Nothobranchius furzeri: one gene and its partner. The protein of the gene in region 1 purifies or fractionates together with the protein of each later gene. This does not show direct contact. Links are inferred from orthologs where the notes say so. Each region holds a gene or a part of one and is shown in the gene's direction. Other genes may lie near its edges. The genes, in order: RNA-binding protein MEX3B and AP-1 complex subunit beta-1.

Region 1 (4,496 bases):
ATTATTTTTGTCCTCAATTCTGAATTACCGACTCACCCCAAAGTCAACACCCGGATGCAACTAATGCTAGGAAACGTATCATAAACGTGACACCGCATTGGCTGTCCTTCGTGAATAGTCCCGCCTTTAAAAGGCTCCCATTGGTCAGCTACAGACTGTAACGAGTGCTGGGGAGATCACGTGGTCTACGCTCAAAGACGTGAAAGCAGAACTCGGCTTCCTTTTTTAAAACAATTTCCAACGTGGCTGATACAAAGCCAGTTAACTGAATTGCGTTACTCCATGTATTAACTTAAAATTGTTGTACATATTTACATAATATGTTACAAAAAAGTTAGATTCAGACAACAAACAATTTAAAAATACTCATTTTGTATGTGTCGGGGCATTTTGCATATAAAAGAACTTACCTGTTGCTTGGTAAACAGGAAAAAAATGAACAACAATAAAACAATAATTGGTAATTGAAATGAGTCTGTTTTAAGTCTGTTTTGAATGCTTGTACATATTGTAAGTGAGAATGGTCTGTCGTCTTTATGTCTAATTGTTTATCTTATTTTTGTCTTGTATTTTTTTTATCTTATCTGTTTTTCTTTGATGTACAGCTAACTATGTCTCTTCTGCTGCTGCCTCTTGGCCAGATCATCGTCGTAAATGACTGAGTTCTCAATCGACTCATCTGGAAAAATACATGTTAAATAAAATAAAATAAACAAATATGGTTTGCTTTCAAACTTAAGTTGAAATAGACTAGATTTTCTTTGCTAGATTTTCATTTTCTATAAACTTGGGATATGATCCACACCATTGGAACACCATTTCTTGATACACTATGTAAACATTTGATTAAATTATAATATGGTCCAGATGAACACCATCATATGAAATCAGCTACACAAAACTATTTTGTGGCAACATAGCGGATGCAAGAAAGAAAGAACGAAAGAAAGAAAGTAAGTAAGTAAGCAATCTTTTATATAGGAAATCACTTATTTCTAATATTGGCAATCAATGAAAATCATATAAATGACAGCTGGCAGAATGTCAAACAAGTGCTAATCTATTGTCTGTGTTTGCATGTGTGATATGTGATGACCTAAATAAAAAAAAATCTGCAAGAAGAATTTATTATTTTTTTCATAGTTAAGTAGGCTTAACGGGGTTAACTCTTTGTTTTTTTTGTGGATCATCGTGCATCTTATTATATGCCCTTAAATAATTATACATTGTTAATTGCTTTTGATCACTTTTATTTCAATGTTGTTTCTGATGGCTTTTCATAACCTTTCATTCGTTTTTGCTCATGTATTTGTATAATATCTATGATATATATTTACATACAGTAATTTTACCAGATACAAAATAACGAGATTAGATTGTGTGAATTACAAAAAAATATAGACTAATCGTCAAACGCACCACACTCCAGTCGCAGAAACCGATGACCATACTGACCTTAAAACGAAGTCTCGCGTGATCAGGAACGAGATTACAGTGTAGGGGAGGGCTGCATGGAGAGCTGAAAAGACAAAACAAAAGCCACACATTTCAGGCGCTGGTCGCTTATTTTATTTTTTATTAACCGAAACAAATTCCATTCGCGACTCATACCAGTTTCAGTTTAGTTGCCATATTTTGTACATTTTTGCATGATGCCTAGTAGCACATCTTTGCTGGAGGCCGATGAGGGAGAGTCCGAGGTCCCACCGCCGCTAGTGCACGCTTTCGCCGGTATGGGCCTTGAGGAGCACCACTGCACCCAAAGCCAAACCACCGAACAGGCAGACGAGAGTATCTCATTCCCACACCACCATCAGCGCCCGTCGGTTTCTCATTTCAGCCTCCTTGATACGGTCCTCGACTTGAAGCCTTTGCCACTGCATCAGCCACCTTCGGGAGATGAAGCGAACAAAACGAAAGAAGAAGAGCTGGAAGAGGCAGCGGCCGATTCCCCGGGCTGCACCGGGAGTTCGTTGTTGGCGAAGGCCCACCGCCATCCACACCTCCATTCGGGGCCAAGTAGCTCCGTGTTGCCGTCTGCAATGGAGCCTCCGCATACCGATACGGTATTATTGTACAACGGAGAGGAGCGTGACGATGGCGGGGTCGCCGGCAGCGCCTTACCTCCGGCTAGCAGCATGGTGATGCTACCATCCGGCGTTTACGGCGATGCGGGTTACGAGGCCGAGCCTTCGCTTCTGACTCAGCGGAAGAGTATCAACACAACCGAGTGTGTGGCCGTGCCGAGCTCCGAGCACGTCGCCGAAATTGTGGGCAGGCAAGGTGAGCGTTTTTCTAAAAGAAATTAGCTAACTTGTGACCCAACGTCTAGCTTTTAAACGTGCGCGTGGACGGAATTGGGTCAAGTCGGGGTAAGTAAACACAATAAAATCATCACAGGTTCGAAAATTGAAATTCTCCCTTCTATTAAGCACCGTTTGTTTGACAGTTATCTCAATTTTTTGCTGTGAGGGCAGTCAGGAATCCCCTAGCCGTGCCTTGTGCTAAACCAGGGTTGTCTTTGTCTCGCAGTAGCACATAAAGAGCACTGTTGGTCACCATTGCTGTGCCACATCAGCTGGAGCCTCCAGATCAACTCCTTATGGTTAATTTTCTTCTCATTAGGTCAGCCGAACCCGTCCCCTTTAATAGACATCCATATCTGGGCTTTCACACAAAGTTTCCACGGGCTGGATGGAGCAGGGAGAGTGTTGTTATGTAGTGTTTCAGAGCAGTTGGGGGAGGGTGTTGACAACAACAGGAAATGGCTCTGGTAATGATGTTGGACTCTCGACCACTGCTAAAAGGAATATTTAATTCACAACATGACCAACTTGTAAATGGAATAAACGATTGAATGTTTGATTGCACTATGTTTGAAACAAAGAGGCACATTAAACCACCCTGTTGGTTACATGTTGGAAACAAAGAAATGGCAAAGTATACCACTTTTTAAAAAGTTGTCTGGAGGAAAGACAAGAGCAGCAGAAATGAATATAAAGGAGATAAAAAACACCAACAATTCATGAGGTTTTTTAATGCAGGGGCATTTCTGCGCTCGCCTTTTCTCAAATGACCAAAACTCAAGAAAAAAACATAACATTTGAGTTTTTGTAGTTGAAATAAAAAAAATCAAGTTAATTTAATTTTTAAATTTCCACTACTGTCAACCTTTTTTACTCAAAAGACCAAATGAGTTAAAACACACTTGTCAAGTGTTTTTTTTAAATACGGAACTTAAAAAAATATCATTTTGTACTCAAAACGGCATGTGTAGTGAAAAAATGATTCAAAGAGACATCAACTGCATGCTTTGATAATGCTAAAGGTCACACTTTATATTCAAGTGCTGCAATCTAAGATTAAATGCTAGCCAAATGGCTTCTGATCCACTTTATTTCTTCTCCAAACCCTTTATTTGGCCTTTTGACTTGGATAATTTTGGACCGCAGCTGTGTGAAGCTTTGTTTTCAGCACAAACAACAAGCCAATATGCACTTGCACTGTAGTTATGTTGCTTTTGTTTGCAAAATTCAGAGTATGAGTGTCATTAAAAATAGCTGGTCTGGATGAGTCCAACTGGTTATTAATAAATGTCTGTGTCACTAATGTGGCATCAGACATGCTTCAACCTTTTCTTGTTTCTTTTTTGAAATCTTCCCTCCACCAGGCTGTAAGATCAAGGCCCTTCGAGCCAAGACGAACACCTACATAAAGACGCCAGTGAGGGGGGAGCAGCCGGTCTTTGTCGTGACGGGACGTAAAGAAGACGTGGCCATGGCAAAGAGGGAGATCCTTTCTGCGGCTGATCACTTCTCCCTTATCAGAGCGTCTCGAAACAAAACTGGGCCTCTGTCTGCCGTGAACACTTTAGGGACCCCTGCTCTACCCGGACAGACGACTATTCAGGTTGGCAAGCTGCATGAATGAATCATGTTGTTATTCCTGGATGCTCTTTTACAGTGAATCACATTAAGGGCTGTTGTTATGGCAACTGCACAGTTCTACACTGTCATCAAAGCATTTTATTTCAAAAGGAAGGTTTGTGTAAGTGTTATTTCCACCCCAACAGGTGCGGGTGCCTTATCGTGTTGTTGGATTGGTTGTGGGTCCCAAAGGTGAGTCTTTTTGTCTATTTTGAACTGATGATGAGACTTTTGGGGCTGATTTTTACTTTTTTTTTTTTGTTTGTTTTGGGTTTTTTCTCTCCTCATTTTTAGACTTAAAGGTTTTACAAAGATCTGGATGGAGTTAGACAGGAGTTTAGTCTTGAGCTCTTTAGCCATGTGAGTGACCAGAACAGCCGGCAGTTAGAAGATGTAATTATTGCACAGCTGCAGTTCTTTAGTCAGATTTTATTATTGTTGTTCTGTTACAGGAAATGTAGATGGCTGTGAATTTTTGTGCTTTTGCCTGTGATCTGCAGATCTTTTTTTTTCCTAATGTAATCATTTGGCATGTTCCTAAATCGTAATTTGTAAGAATGTAATTGGCGA
Region 2 (4,258 bases), on another chromosome or scaffold:
CCACCACCACCGGAGGCTACATACCGCAAAAAGCAGTGAGTGAACACAACCTAATCCCAGAGGTGTACGTTTCATTAAATGGTAGAGGTGACTTGTGTGGTGGCTTTTACAGGTGTGGCTTCCTGCAGCTAAAGCAAAGGGACTGGAGATCTCCGGAACCTTCTCTCGTCGTCAGGGACACATGTACATGGACATGTCTTTCACCAACAAGGCTCTGCAGCACATGAATGATTTTGCAATCCAGTTCAACAAGAATAGGTTAATGACAAAAAAATCCTACCTGCTGCTCTGATTTCAGTCAGAAACTCACAGCTGGAGACACACTCATTTGGTTTATTTCTTTCCTGTAGTTTTGGGATGATCCCCACCAGCCCTCTTCCTATTCACACTCCGCTGATGCCCAATCAAAGTATCGACGCCTCTCTTCCTCTGAACACCATCGGACCTGTAATGAAGATGGATCCTCTCAATAATCTACAGGTACAGAACCAAGAGCTAACTGAGCAGTAAGCGTTTTTTTTTTTTTTGTGAGGGCTTCAAAACGTTTTGAGTGTTCTCAGTCTCCTCTTATGAGCCAATGATTGTGTGACTCTGAAAATACTCACAAATTTTGAAGAAGAAACAATCTTTTAGAGAGCCTCAAGATAAAAATCACGAGGTACTTAAAAAAATACAAAAGATTAAAAAAATGAGAAAAGTGAAAGAAAATTTGAGATAAAAAAAAATGTGAGGAAAGGGAAAGAGACGACAAATAACAAGAAAGGTCATCCATGGAAACCAGTAAAGGCAGAATTGGTAAAAAGACCTGAATGAGAAGGTAGTGATGAAGAATTAACAGGTCACACAAATCCAGCCTGAACAGGTTAGTTTTCAGCTGCTTTTTAAAGGAGACCACTGAGTCCACTGATCTCAGGCTCAGAAGGGAGAGAGTTCCAGAGTCTGGGGGCCACAGCAGCAAAAGATCTGTCACCTTTGGTCTTTAGCCTGGTGCTGCACAACCAGTAGGCTTTGATCACTGGACCTCAGGGACCTGCTGGGGGTGTAGGGACTAAGAAGATCCCCAATGTAAGATGGTGCTTGCTGGTGAAATGTGATTTCTCAAAATAATCCGGATCATCACGAGTGTTTGGAACTCTCCTCGGTCAGGAAGTAACAGAAATGTGAGCCAACTTTGATCATATGTTCTATGTCAGCGTTTAGTGAGAGAGTAGCTTTGATTCTTCACTGCTGTCTTTTATTATGGTTTCATTAAAACTGTAAAACAGTCTGGTGCTGTCTAAATACCTGCTTCTGCCCTTTCTGTGAACAGGTGGCAGTGAAGAACAACATTGACGTGTTCTACTTCAGCGTTCTCATCCCTCTCAACATATTCTTCGTTGAGGATGGAAAAATGGGTATGTTAGATAACAGAACATTCAGAAGCAACAATAAATATCAGTCTAGTAGTAAATGTCTTTTTTTATATTACAAGAATCTCATTGCCTAATTGTGAAGATCAGTTATATTCATAGTTTTTGTCATGTTAAAAACCAAATTCCAATAATGTTTATGTTTACGAATTCTGCAGAGCGACAGGTGTTCTTGGCTACCTGGAAGGACATCCCCAATGAGAACGAGCTTCAGTACCAGATAAAAGAATGTCACCTAAACGCAGGTGGGCAACTTCTTCAGAACCTCCACCCGGTCGCTGTCTCTGGTTTTGATGCCTGATTTGTCACATCTTCTACCAGCTCCATCAAAGAGATGACCTCTTCTTGTGTGTTCTCACATGCCTCTTTGGATTCCTCTATTTCTTTTTGCTTGTAACTAACCTTTCTTCACATTCTTTCCCTAAATTTTTCCCTGCAGCTGATCTGTGCAACCCTGAGCCACTGCTGAAAAACTTTACTGAAATCTGAAGGTTCTAATCAGAGTTTATTAAAACCCTGACATAGACGTAGCTGCGTCTTTAGCAGTAGGATTGTTATCATTCATCTACATGTTAGCGTTGGTAGCTGTAGCGATTACTGCCTCCCTGTAACATAGTGTCATACAAAGAGGCGTTTTCCTAACATGGAGTGGTGTTGATTCTGGCCTTGCAGACACAGTATCAGGGAAGCTGCAGAATAACAACATCTACACCATCGCTAAAAGAAACGTAGAAGGCCAGGACATGCTCTACCAGTCCCTGAAGCTAACCAACGGCATCTGGATCTTGGCTGAGCTCCGCATTCAGCCTGGGAATCCCAATTACACGGTGGGTTGTAGAAAAGGTCACGCTGTGTTGAATTCTGGGTATTTTTGTTCGTAATCCACCTGCACTGAGGATGTTGATGCTAACCCAAATGATCATATTGCTAAACTTCTCTCGTCACTTGTAAAACAGATTCTGAAACTCTTAAGAAAACATCTGAAGGCTGGTAGATTTTAAGTGTTCATAGTGTGTATTGAGTAAGTGTGCTTTTTAAATGCTGCAATTAACAATCCCCTTTAAAGAGCTCAAAGTAAATCTTACTAAAAGAAAAACATTAAATTTCTTACAACAGATAAATGTCTACTTGTGTGGTCAGACCCGCTATTCACAAACCTTTTTGAACAGATTCAGAAAACAGCTCAGATATATGATCATTGGAATGTAGTAATAGTTTCCTTTATGATCATTTAAAGGAGAACTTCGGATTATTCTTTTTTTTATGGCACCATCTAGTGGCTGACAAATGAATTGCACTAATTCATGTTTTTACTTCCTTGTTCACGGCCAAAAGCAACGCTTTTCGTTCATAAATGCACTCCTCAAGCTGACCAAACAGCTAGAAAACATTGTTTTGCTATTATTATGCTCATATCATGTTGTGCATTAATATATTTATAGTTTAAAGACTTACTTGTACATGAGAAAGGTAGCCAACTCTGCGTCAGCCAAAGTAGGTCCTCAAACGCACAAGCACGTTCTGTGTCTGTACGCAAGTGGTAGCCCAGGGCTGTTGGTTAATGCTGACTGGAGCTCAGTTCATATTGCTTGGAGCTCTACGGGACGGGGGAGTGGGCTTAGCAAAAACTAACATATTGCCTTTACGGATTTCTAAAAAATCTTACATAATTCCTGAACTAGGAATACTCCATATTGCAGCTTTTGTTTTATAAAATTAGAAACAAACCAATAATTTTTACCAGTAATAAAACCTTTTAAACGTGTGTGGAGGTTTTTTTATAAAACACAGCACCTGTTCTGTTTTTACAGCTGTCCCTTAAGTGTCGGGCCCCTGAGGTGTCTCAGTATGTCTACCAGATGTACGACTCCATACTGAAGAACTGACCTGACCGAGACTCTCCTTCACCCTGGCAACAACCTTCAGTGTTTCTTCATTTTCTCTTATCTGCAGCTGATTGCCACAGCAAAAAAAAAAAATAAATAAATAAAAAATCCAAGCAGATAATAAATGATCAAAAATATTTGATGTACACCCCCCAAGATACTTGTAGGGTAAAAATCAGTCAATACAGTTTGATTGGAAGTGATTTGTAGTTGAAACAGTTTTATCCCTTTTTCTGGCAGTTAAAAACAGTCTCCATCGCTTTGATTACACTCCTTATTTGTGTTTACTTCTCTGTGAAACCTTGCTAACATTCCATTCTTAACTAGGTATCTTAATGTTGTGAGTGATGTCGAAACAGTTTCAGTTAATGAAGCCATTTTCTTTGTTTTGTGATCTGTTTTATTTTAAAAGTTTATTTTTTAAACTGGCTTTACTTCAGCCGAACCTCCACAAAGACGCCAGTGTTCCCTTTTGCCATTATTGTGTGAGGATGTCTGCAAACTGAAGCTACCGCTGTTTTTTTTATTCCCTGTCATGATTTAAACCCACAGCATGTTTAGTAGATTTACCCAAATATGTGCTGCATTTATTTGCCAACAGTACCTTTATTTTCTGTAACGGTATAAGAATAATTCATGAAAACATTCAGACATTTTTAAAAAACAAGTGACGTAAGAGCTGTAAGTAACTCTGGTGAAATTTTAGATTTTGGTGTTTACTTTTTGTGTTTCGTTTGAAACGGAGATGCATGCATAAAAAATAATCACTTCTTCATGCTGGTTGTAGCTGCAGCTTTTTTCATCTTTCATCAAGTGTTATTTAACTCATTATTGCATATAAAAGCACATAAATGCAAATGAAAGACAAATATTAGATTATTCCTAAAGGAAAATCCTAAACATCTGCAGAACCCAGTTAAACAGCTTCTAGTGACCAATATGACTGATTGCCAGCTGTTGTGT

The links.
Region 2: the proteins of RNA-binding protein MEX3B (region 1) and AP-1 complex subunit beta-1 purify together in Homo sapiens (affinity purification with mass spectrometry; 4 studies listed by BioGRID and IntAct, with this or other methods). This does not show direct contact. The link is inferred for Nothobranchius furzeri from reciprocal best matches to the Homo sapiens genes MEX3C and AP2B1.

The regions. Positions count from the first base shown.
Region 1 is NC_091757.1:48,917,862-48,922,357, reverse strand, and holds the start of RNA-binding protein MEX3B, read left to right. Parts: upstream 1-1,485; 5' UTR 1,486-1,649; coding exon 1,650-2,283; intron 2,284-3,670; coding exon 3,671-3,909; intron 3,910-4,072; coding exon 4,073-4,118; intron 4,119-4,496. UniProt on the Homo sapiens protein: E3 ubiquitin ligase responsible for the post-transcriptional regulation of common HLA-A allotypes. Binds to the 3' UTR of HLA-A2 mRNA, and regulates its levels by promoting mRNA decay.
Region 2 is NC_091750.1:66,902,876-66,907,133, forward strand, and holds the end of AP-1 complex subunit beta-1, read left to right. Parts: coding exon 1-35; intron 36-112; coding exon 113-258; intron 259-350; coding exon 351-480; intron 481-1,309; coding exon 1,310-1,394; intron 1,395-1,567; coding exon 1,568-1,654; intron 1,655-2,081; coding exon 2,082-2,236; intron 2,237-3,220; coding exon 3,221-3,295; 3' UTR 3,296-3,711; downstream 3,712-4,258. UniProt on the Homo sapiens protein: Component of the adaptor protein complex 2 (AP-2). Adaptor protein complexes function in protein transport via transport vesicles in different membrane traffic pathways.